Linked DNA regions of Macaca fascicularis. The protein of the gene in region 1 purifies or fractionates together with the protein of each later gene. This does not show direct contact. Links are inferred from orthologs where the notes say so. Each region holds a gene or a part of one and is shown on either strand. Other genes may lie near its edges. The genes, in order: MACROH2A1 and EZH2.

Region 1 (4,395 bases):
GCTTCATCTCCTGTTACTTTCCCCTTCACCCATTCTACTCCAACCTCACACTCGCTGTGTCTCGACTATTTCCGACACGCTCCTAGCCTTTGCACTTGCTATTCCTCATGCTTGGGGCAGTTCTTCCCCAGACATCCACATGGCTTGCTCCCTCAATTTCTTCAGGCCTTTGCTTTAAATGTTACATTCTCAGAGAGGCCTTCTCTTATATTTGAGCCTCACTCTTATCTCACACTTCCTATTCCCCTTCTCCGCCTTATTTTGCTCCACCGCATGGAGACCCTCTGACACATTCTCCCGTTTGTCTTTCCTTCCCCCACTAGAATGCAAACCCCAGGAGGGCAGAGACTTCTGCCTGTTCTCTTGGCTGTTTCATATCCAGCACCCAAATTGCTGCATGACATAAAATACGTTCTCAGTACTTAATTGAATTAACGAATGCATGAATGGCAGGTATTGGACATTGTTTTGCAAACTCTTACAGTAACGAGTAAAGCATTCCGGTGAGGTGGAGGTTACTGCCGCTGCGATTCCCGCGCAGCCTGAGGACTGGGGTTGGGGGTGGGGTCTCTAATTACCTGCATAATCCCCAGTGGCGGCACTTTAAACTTCACATCAACCCTGAGGGATGTGTATTATTACCCAAATTTAGTTCACAGCTGGATGGAGAAGTGGCTTCCCGCTCCACACTTTGGAGGGAGGGGAGTAGAGGGAAGGCCCCCATTTAAGTACCCGGGATGGGGCACCAATGCCTTCAGGCGATAAACCAATTTAGGAAGACGTAGAGGGCTTTGTGGCGGGCCCTCCTCTTTCGGCCTGTCCGCAGTTTTTAAAAAACGCGTGTGATGATAAGGAATCACTGTTTATATTAGTAATTCCCAACTTGGGTCTGAAAGTGAACTTTTGCTGAAGCCAAGTAGCTAACCGCTTCCACGTGCAAGGCAGGATCCAGCCTTGGGGTGAGGGGATTAGCTGAAGGACCCCAGGGGAGCCGGGTGCGCAGTAATTGACCTTGGGGCAGACAAGGGCTTGGGGGTGGCCTGTATCTAAAGACAGCGAGGCCTCTGAGGCGGGGGGTGGGGGAGTTGGCATTGGCTAGGGAGGGAAGAGCGATCGCTGGTAACAGCCATTGTGCCTTCCCACTGGGTTAGTGAGAAGGTTCCTAAGGATGCCGTGGCGACGACAGTCCCGTGCTCAGAGCCAGGCACACAGTAGGCGCTCACTCGAGATGCAGAGGCTGGGACGCGCCCTGGAGAAGCGCCTCTCCGGCGGTCCTGGCCCTTCCCAAGGACTGGGTTCTGGGCGACGCCGGGGTCACGGGTCGGACCTCGTGTCCGGGGCGCGGGCTGGTCCCTGGGCGCAGAGCGGCCGGCGTCAGCTGGCAGGGCGCGGGCCCGGGGTCAAGGCCGGGGCGCTAGGCGGCGCGGGCGCGGAGGCCGTACGCTCGGGGCAGCGAAGGGATGTGACGAGCGGCGCGCTGTGCATTGTGGGAAGCCGGCCGCGAGGACTGGTTCCAGTTCACTCGGCAGCGGCGCCGGGCGGAGGGGGAGAGCGCGGGCCGCGCGGGCGGGAAGCAAAGAGGCGGGCGGGCCAGCGAGGAGCGCGGAGAGAAAAGGCGCGAGCGGCCAGGAGGGCTCAGGCCGAGACATCTTTCAGCTGCCGCCGCCGCCGCCACCGAGCCGCCGCGTAAGTGCCGCGCGGGCCCCTTGCCGCACTCCCTGTCTCCGCCGCTCGGGTCCGGCCGCGGGTGCCGGGGAGCGGCCCGGCCTGGCGCGCACCGGTGTGGTGCTCGGCCGGGCTCGGGCCGCCGGGTTCGGTGTGGCCCACGCCGGGTCCTCGCGCGTGCACTACGCCCTCCCAGGCCCTGTCGGGCCGCGCGGGATTCCCTTTGGTTTTGTTCAAGAAACAAACCCGGAAACCAACTTCTCTTCGAAATGCATCCCCTGCCCGCTCCTGTGCGCTTTTGTGGGAAAAAGGCAGTGCTGGCGCCTCCCCTGGTGACCCTTCCTGGGGCGGGCTCACCGGCCAGGCCTGAGGCCGCAGGAGGCCCCGCGGCGCTGGCTGGGCAGCCTGGGCCTGGGCGCCCGGGAGCTGCTGTGAGCGGAGTTGTACTTGGTGAGGCCCCCGCCGGCCCGCGAGTTGCCGGCCCCGGCACAATAAGTCGGGCCTGAGCCCCGGGGGACCGAGGTGTAGGCGTCTGGCTCGCTATCTGCAGGGAGGGGAGAGCGGGGCTACTCGCGGGACTGAAGCCGGGCTGGAGCTGGGAACCGGGTCGGGGAGTGGTCCAAGGGTGGGCTGGAGAGGGGCCACGGGAACCCCCGCTGCTCCCGATTGTCTTGGTATCAACCTTTTGTTTGCTTTGTGGTAGGAAGGGTTTGCTTTTTTTTTTTTTTTAAAGGTAACTCCGGAAGGCTGTGGGCTTCCCCGGGTGGAGAAGGCCAGCAGGAAAGAGCCTCGCTGGGGGTGGGGTGGAGTGGGGAGGTGAGTGCGCAGGATGCTGCTGGCAGTGTCACCTGACAACAGGTGTGCGACATGGCGCTCCCCACCCCCACTCCTGCAGGGGCCACAGATCACTCAAGCAGCTGGTCAGTACATTGCTTGAAAGGTTCTTTTAGACAAGATGTTAGGGGAAATGTTTCTGAGTTTCAAAGTGAGAGACTTCTGTACAAACAACTGATACAAACCTTGAATTCAACAATTACAGTGACTATAAAGGCCTTGTAAGATTTTAATGACCCAGTAAACAGCACGTAAGAATAGACAATTAGAGGGGGCACTTCCCTCTTTTCTTCCACCTTTGTGGTTTGAGGTTTTACCGTTTAAGTGGGGGGTGAGGGAAGTGCTTTGTTCCAAAGCTCCCTGCTCCGGAGAGTCGGCATTTTTTAACAGTCTTAGGTTTGAATGGGAGACTCCGAGTTGTAAATTAGGTGGAATTCACCTACTGCAGGCCACCTTTAGGCTACTAGCCTGCTGTCAGAGGTGTTAACTCTGAAATGGACACCTCACGCCTGCAACTGAAATTAATATCCCTTGTACACATTTAACTAGAGTTGGGCAGCAGCATCTCAGTCTTGCACAAGAGACTCTCCGATGAGGATGAGTATGTTTTTAAACTTATTTTTTCTTAAACACAACAACAAAACTCTTGAAAGACTTCAAATTCTTCCCCCTTCTAGTTTTACAAGGAGAAATAAATCTTTCCAGTCTGTTCTTTGGTTTTGATCTGTTACCATTGTCAATGCTGATCCCTAGATGAGGCCTTAAGAGGGTTGTGTCAATGAAAATTGTTTGAGGCAGGCCTTTAGAAGGAGGCACAATTTAACTCACATTTTATTAAACTTTGAGGATTTTCTGGAACTTCACATGTGACATTCTAATATACAACCATGCCACTGTTTTAGTTTTTACCAAATGGGCCAGTGTCAGGGAGTGGCACGTCTCCATCTGCTGTTTCTTCTGGTCCCTGAGAGAGGAGAACTTGAGGAACGTTTCGCATTCCTTCCCCATTGAGAACCTCAGAGTGCATGTGTTCTGGGACCTGCCTTCAGAGCTAATGCGGCCCCAAGTCACCTAAAGGAGATTTATTTAAATAAAAGCATAAACTGAAAACCTCAAGCTGAAGAACCCAACAAGACTCTATTTGTGGTGTTCATCAGAATTGCAACAGCCTCTGGTTCTTATTCGAGTGTCCCCAAGGATTTGTGACAGGCTTTTCAGAGCCCCACTGCTAGAACATGGGCTGGGAAGGGGCAGGAGTGAGTGGGGCCCACATCTGTGGGTCCTTCCCACATTCTGTAGGTTTAGAGTTATGTTGGGCCCTGCCTCAGCACTTACAAGTGAGCCTGAGTGAGTCAACTCTTCATTCCAAAGAGTTGTATAGCTTGTTTGCTTGGACCAAACCTGTCAGGTCAGTGTCTCAGAGTCTTTCCATAAAGATTTCCTGAGAATCAGCTCCTGTTCAGGCACTGGGGACACAGCTGTGATTAAGAAATGCCTAGCCCCTACCCTGGGGGAGCTGACATTGGGAGAAGGCAGGCAAGTAGCTGTTGTAAAGTCAGTGCAGAAGGCCCCAAGTAGCCCCCGGCAGGGGCAGTAACCTAGCCAGGAGTGAGCCCTTATCTGGCACGGAAAGGTCAAGTTGGTTGGGCAAAGGAGGGCAGATGGGGACAGGTGTTTGAGGCCTAGGGAACCACATGTGTGCATCTTAGAAGAAAAGAACAGAGGTTATGTGGGGAACTGCCAGAGGCTTGGGATGGCTGAGTCCTGGTGCGTAGTCAGGTGAGGCTTCAGGGAGGGACAAACAGGACAAATCACAAAGGATTCTGGTCAGACCCACACTTTATCCTAAAAGCAACGGAAAGGTTCTGAGCAGGAGAGAGACAGGATCAGGTGTTC
Region 2 (4,406 bases), on another chromosome or scaffold:
ATTAAAATATATCTTAAATACTTCTGTTTTCTTGCAAATAAAATTTACAAATAAACAAGTTAGGATTACACACTTGATCCGTATTCTTAAATATGAATTAGTTGCTAATGCTTATGAAGAGTAATAGAAAATAAACTCCAAAACCCCTAAAAGTATTGACTACATTCAACCGTGACTACATTCGTGTTTTTCAAAGGTTTATTAAATGCTGTTTTATGGTGACATCAAAACTCCACAAAATTAAGCTAATAACTTCCTTGAACCCTAAAAAGCAAGCCTTTAAGTAAACATCAAAGATACATTTTTATTTCCAAATGAATTTAAATGTTACAGATACTGTGTGATAAACAAAGGAAGTTTAACTGTGGACAGCACACGTTAAATTTCTTAGGCAACAAACATTTCTGCATCCAGTCTTTTCTGAATCACCAAAGCTATTGTTCACAGAAAACGAGACCAATTACTAAGAAACTGCTAACCATAGAATCTAAACACACATTTGTCATAGCCATTCTATTTTGATCACCTACTTCTACCACCTCATCCTCATTCAACCCGTCGGGATTTGGGAAATAATCTCTGGCTGAATGACAGTTGATTTCGTTAGCACCTGTCGCCATTCTCAGATGTATCACACAAGTTGGCCAAAACAGCTTGTAATGTTTAAGGATTACGATTCTTTAGAAAGTGGGAACTCACTAGGCGTTCACCAAGTTTTCCAAAAGATCGTGCTTCTCGATTCCTCCCGCTTTCAAAAAGTAACCCTGTGGCACAGATTTTTGGGGGCAGTGGAAGGGGATGTACACAATGAAGTGGGAATTCAACAGGAAGCCCTCCAAAAACACAATCAATAGAGAGCAGAACAGCTCGACTCTTCCCTCAAACTTAGCATAAAGCCAGACCAGGCGGCGAGGCAGCCCGCGACCGCCGGAGCTCAGGGGGATTTCGGGGTGCGTCCTGGGGAAACGTCAGAGGCGAAGCTACTCCGAGTTCCACGCCGCGAACGTCGTCCCGCGGTCGCCGCGGCCCCAGCCCGGGGTCAGCGCGCCCGGGATGGGGGCGTGCGCGGGGCTGGGGCCGAGCCCTGCCCACCCCGGCAGCGGCCCGCGCCTCCCCACGCCCCTCTCCCGCCCGCCGGCGGGCCCGGGTGTCATGCCCCTTCCCCTCGCGCCGAGACCTCCGGAGACACAGTCCGTCCTTTGTCTGAGTGCAGACTCGGCGGCTGGGTCCCACCAACTTGTGTCTGTCCCGTCCCACCCGGGCGCTCCCGCCGCGGCCGCGCCACACAAAGGAGACTTGAGGCTCGAGCTGCCACCCTGGACCGGGCACCGGAACGCCCCGACCCCGGCCCCGGCGCCCCGGCCAGGGCAGGCACCGGGAAAGCTGCCCCCCACACGCCCCCCGCCCCGCAGCTCCGGGGGTCCGCGCTGCCCCACTCGTAGGCTCCCGCTGGCCAGCCCTAAGCTCACAGCTCCTTCCGGGGAGGGGGGTCTCCCCTCACCCTCCACCCCCCGCACGCCTACAAACGCGGCGCCCGGGTGAGCCCCGTTTAGGCGATACCCGGGACCGGCACAGCAGCGGCGGGGAGGTCCTGCCGCCGCCGCCGCCGCCCGCTTCGCACTCCTGGAGCCCCACCGGCCGGGCCGCCCGCAGCGGCGCGTTACCTTCGTCCCGCGCGCCGGCTCGCGCTGTTCCCGCGCGTCGCCCCCGCGCGCCGCCGCCGCCGCCGCCGCCGCCGGGGCTCCACTGCCTTCTGTGTCCCACCGGGTGTCGGACGCGACCGGACCGAGCGCCAAACGCGGCAGTCCAATCGCCATCGCTTTTATTTGGCCCCCCCAACCCAATCAAGCACCGCCCCGATTGGCGGGACGCTAGGCGGGCGCCCGTCCAATCACAGGGCCCGCCGGGCTCGGAGGCGCCGAGCCAGCCCCACGCAGAGTGCGCTCAGGGCTCGCGGGCGGGCGGTGGTGGCGCGTGCGCGCGCGGGCGGTGGCGGGGCTCGCTTGAAGCGACGCGACTGGCCTTGTGGAAGCGCTGCCGCCGTCTCTTTGTTCTTTCGCTGAACACACGGCGCCTCTCAGGAAGGCGGTGTGCAGGCAGGCGGGGACCGGGAGACATCGCGGGGGCCCGGAGCCCACCGCGAACGGGAGGCGGGGAGGATGGGTGGCGGGAACGGGCCGAAGGGCGGGACGACGCGCCGGCTGCTCTTGGCGGGAACCGGCGCCGCGGAGTTCCCGGGCGGGGGAGGGGAGGGGAGGGGAGGGGCGAGGCGGGGACTGGAAGCCAAGTTTGAACCAGTTCAAAACTCGGGGGTGGTAACGGTTTTAACCGCCGCGCTCGTTTCCCCGCGCGCGGTGCCGAGGCCCGAGCTGGCCTCTCCTGGCGGTGCCCAGGGAGGGGAGGGCACGGGCCCCGGAGGTCGGCTCTGCTGCGGCGCGGCCTTTGCGGGGAGACGCTCGCCCGGCCCGCGCGCTGCCGCCGGCCCCGTTACTTCTTTTTTTTTTTTTCCCTCTGAGACGGAGTTTCGCTCTTGTTGCCCAGGCTGGAGTGCAATGGCGCGATCTCAACTCACCGCCACCTCCGCCTTCCGTGTTCAAGAGATTCTCCTGCCTCAGCCTCCCGGGTAGCGGGGATTACAAGCATGCGCCACTACGCCCGGCAATTTTGTATTTTTAGTAGAGACGGGGTTTCTCCGTGTTGGTCAGGCTGGTCTCGAACTCCCGACTGCAGGTGATCCGCCCGCCTCGGCCTCCCGAAGTGCTGGGATTACAGGCGTGAGCCACAGCGCCCGGCCCGGGTCCCGTTGATGTTGCCTGCTGCTGCCTCGGCCACTTCCCGCCCCGCCCCCCGCCCCCCGCCTCCACCGCTGGACTTTGGCTGAGCTCGCAGTGCTTATCGCCCTAGAAACCTGTGAAAGGGTGACATTACTGCCATTTCAGACCCTTCCAGTGTTTGTAGTGCCAAGCAAGTGTCAGTGTTAAAAATCGTTTATTAAGATGAGCGCTGTTCACTTGCCGCCTCTGCAAAGTGTAAGGATATTTGCAATATTTTTTAGTGATTAAACAATGATCTTAGTTATGGGGGGGTCAACCTGCCTCAACTCAGGAATTAGGGGGCTTCTGCTTAGGATACAATCTCTCCTATTGCTTCATGTGACAATGCAGTTAAGAGTATCCCGAATTTATTTTTACTAGGATGTACCTATGGGGTAAAATACCATTGTCCTGTAAACTGAGATTCCATATTGATAGTTCAGACTGGACACTGAAAAAAGGCCACCTATGATGTTGGGGTAAAAATCTGAAGAAATCTTTTTAATGATTTTAATAACTAGCTAGAATTTTAATTTTTATTTTTCTTTTTTTTTTTTTTTTTTTTGAGATGGTCTCACACTGTCGCCCAGGCTGGAGTGCAGCAGCGCCATCTCGGCTCACTGCAAGTTCCGCCTCCCGGGTTCACACCATTCTGCCTCAGCCTCCCAGGGTAGCTGGGACCACAGGTGCCCGCCACCACGCCCGGCTAATTTTTTGTGTTTTTAGTAGAGACGGGGTTTCACCATGTTAGCCAGGGTGGTCTCGATTTCCTGACCTTGTGATCCACGCGTCTCAGCCTCCCAAAGTGCTGGGATTACAGGCGTGAGCCACCGCGCCGGGCCATAATTTTTCATCAGGTGATTTAGCCCATAATTTTCCCGCCTTTCCTAAATCACCATTCCATTCCTCACATATATTCTGAACCACGCCAATGTTGGAAAGTATATATGAAGGGAAGCTAAAAGATAAGGAGAAACAAGCAATCATGTGCTCAGATAAAAGCAAAATTATCTTGTGAATCAATGATAAGACTGCAAAAAGTAAGTTATGCAACTGAGATGTGACTGTAAAATAACGTAACGAATTATAGCTGTCATTACTTACAGTCACCAATACATTCATTTTCCAAGATAAAATGCATCTATCTAGGCCAGCAGTTTGCAATTTTTTAAAACCAGCAACTTAAACCTCAGAAATTAACTACTTATCCCTAAGTTGCTTATCAAATTACTGAACTTATCAGTCCTATAATATTAAATAGTAAAACGACATTTTTTAAGAGGAAGATCAATGAAATTAGAGACTACCATAAAGCAAATCAAAGCAGTATATAAATATATGCAACATGGTGTGAAATGTCATATAAATTGTTAGACGTTTAGAATCAAGGGATGGATGGATCAAGATGTTCCAGGCCAGGCTTAGTGGTTCACACCTGTAATCCCAGCACTTTCGGAAGTCAAGGTGGGAAGCTCCAAGACCAGCCTGGGCAACATAGCAAGACCCCATCTCTACAAAAAAACTTTAAAAATAAATGGGTGTGGTGGCACGGAAGTACCTATGGTCCCAACTGCCCCCGAGGCCGAGGGAGGG

Evidence for each region.
Region 2: the proteins of MACROH2A1 (region 1) and EZH2 purify together in Homo sapiens (affinity purification with mass spectrometry; 3 studies listed by BioGRID and IntAct, with this or other methods). This does not show direct contact. The link is inferred for Macaca fascicularis from reciprocal best matches to the Homo sapiens genes MACROH2A1 and EZH2.

Annotation. Positions count from the first base shown.
Region 1 is NC_088380.1:141,934,249-141,938,643, reverse strand, and holds the start of MACROH2A1 (core histone macro-H2A.1), read left to right. Parts: upstream 1-1,509; 5' UTR 1,510-1,686; intron 1,687-4,395. UniProt on the Homo sapiens protein: Variant histone H2A which replaces conventional H2A in a subset of nucleosomes where it represses transcription. Nucleosomes wrap and compact DNA into chromatin, limiting DNA accessibility to the cellular machineries which require DNA as a template.
Region 2 is NC_088377.1:190,536,843-190,541,248, forward strand, and holds the start of EZH2 (histone-lysine N-methyltransferase EZH2), read right to left. Parts: upstream 2,850-4,406; 5' UTR 2,644-2,849; coding exon 2,573-2,643; intron 2,097-2,572; exon of another isoform or gene 1,964-2,096; intron 1,801-1,963; exon of another isoform or gene 1,665-1,800; intron 1-1,664. UniProt on the Homo sapiens protein: Polycomb group (PcG) protein. Catalytic subunit of the PRC2/EED-EZH2 complex, which methylates 'Lys-9' (H3K9me) and 'Lys-27' (H3K27me) of histone H3, leading to transcriptional repression of the affected target gene.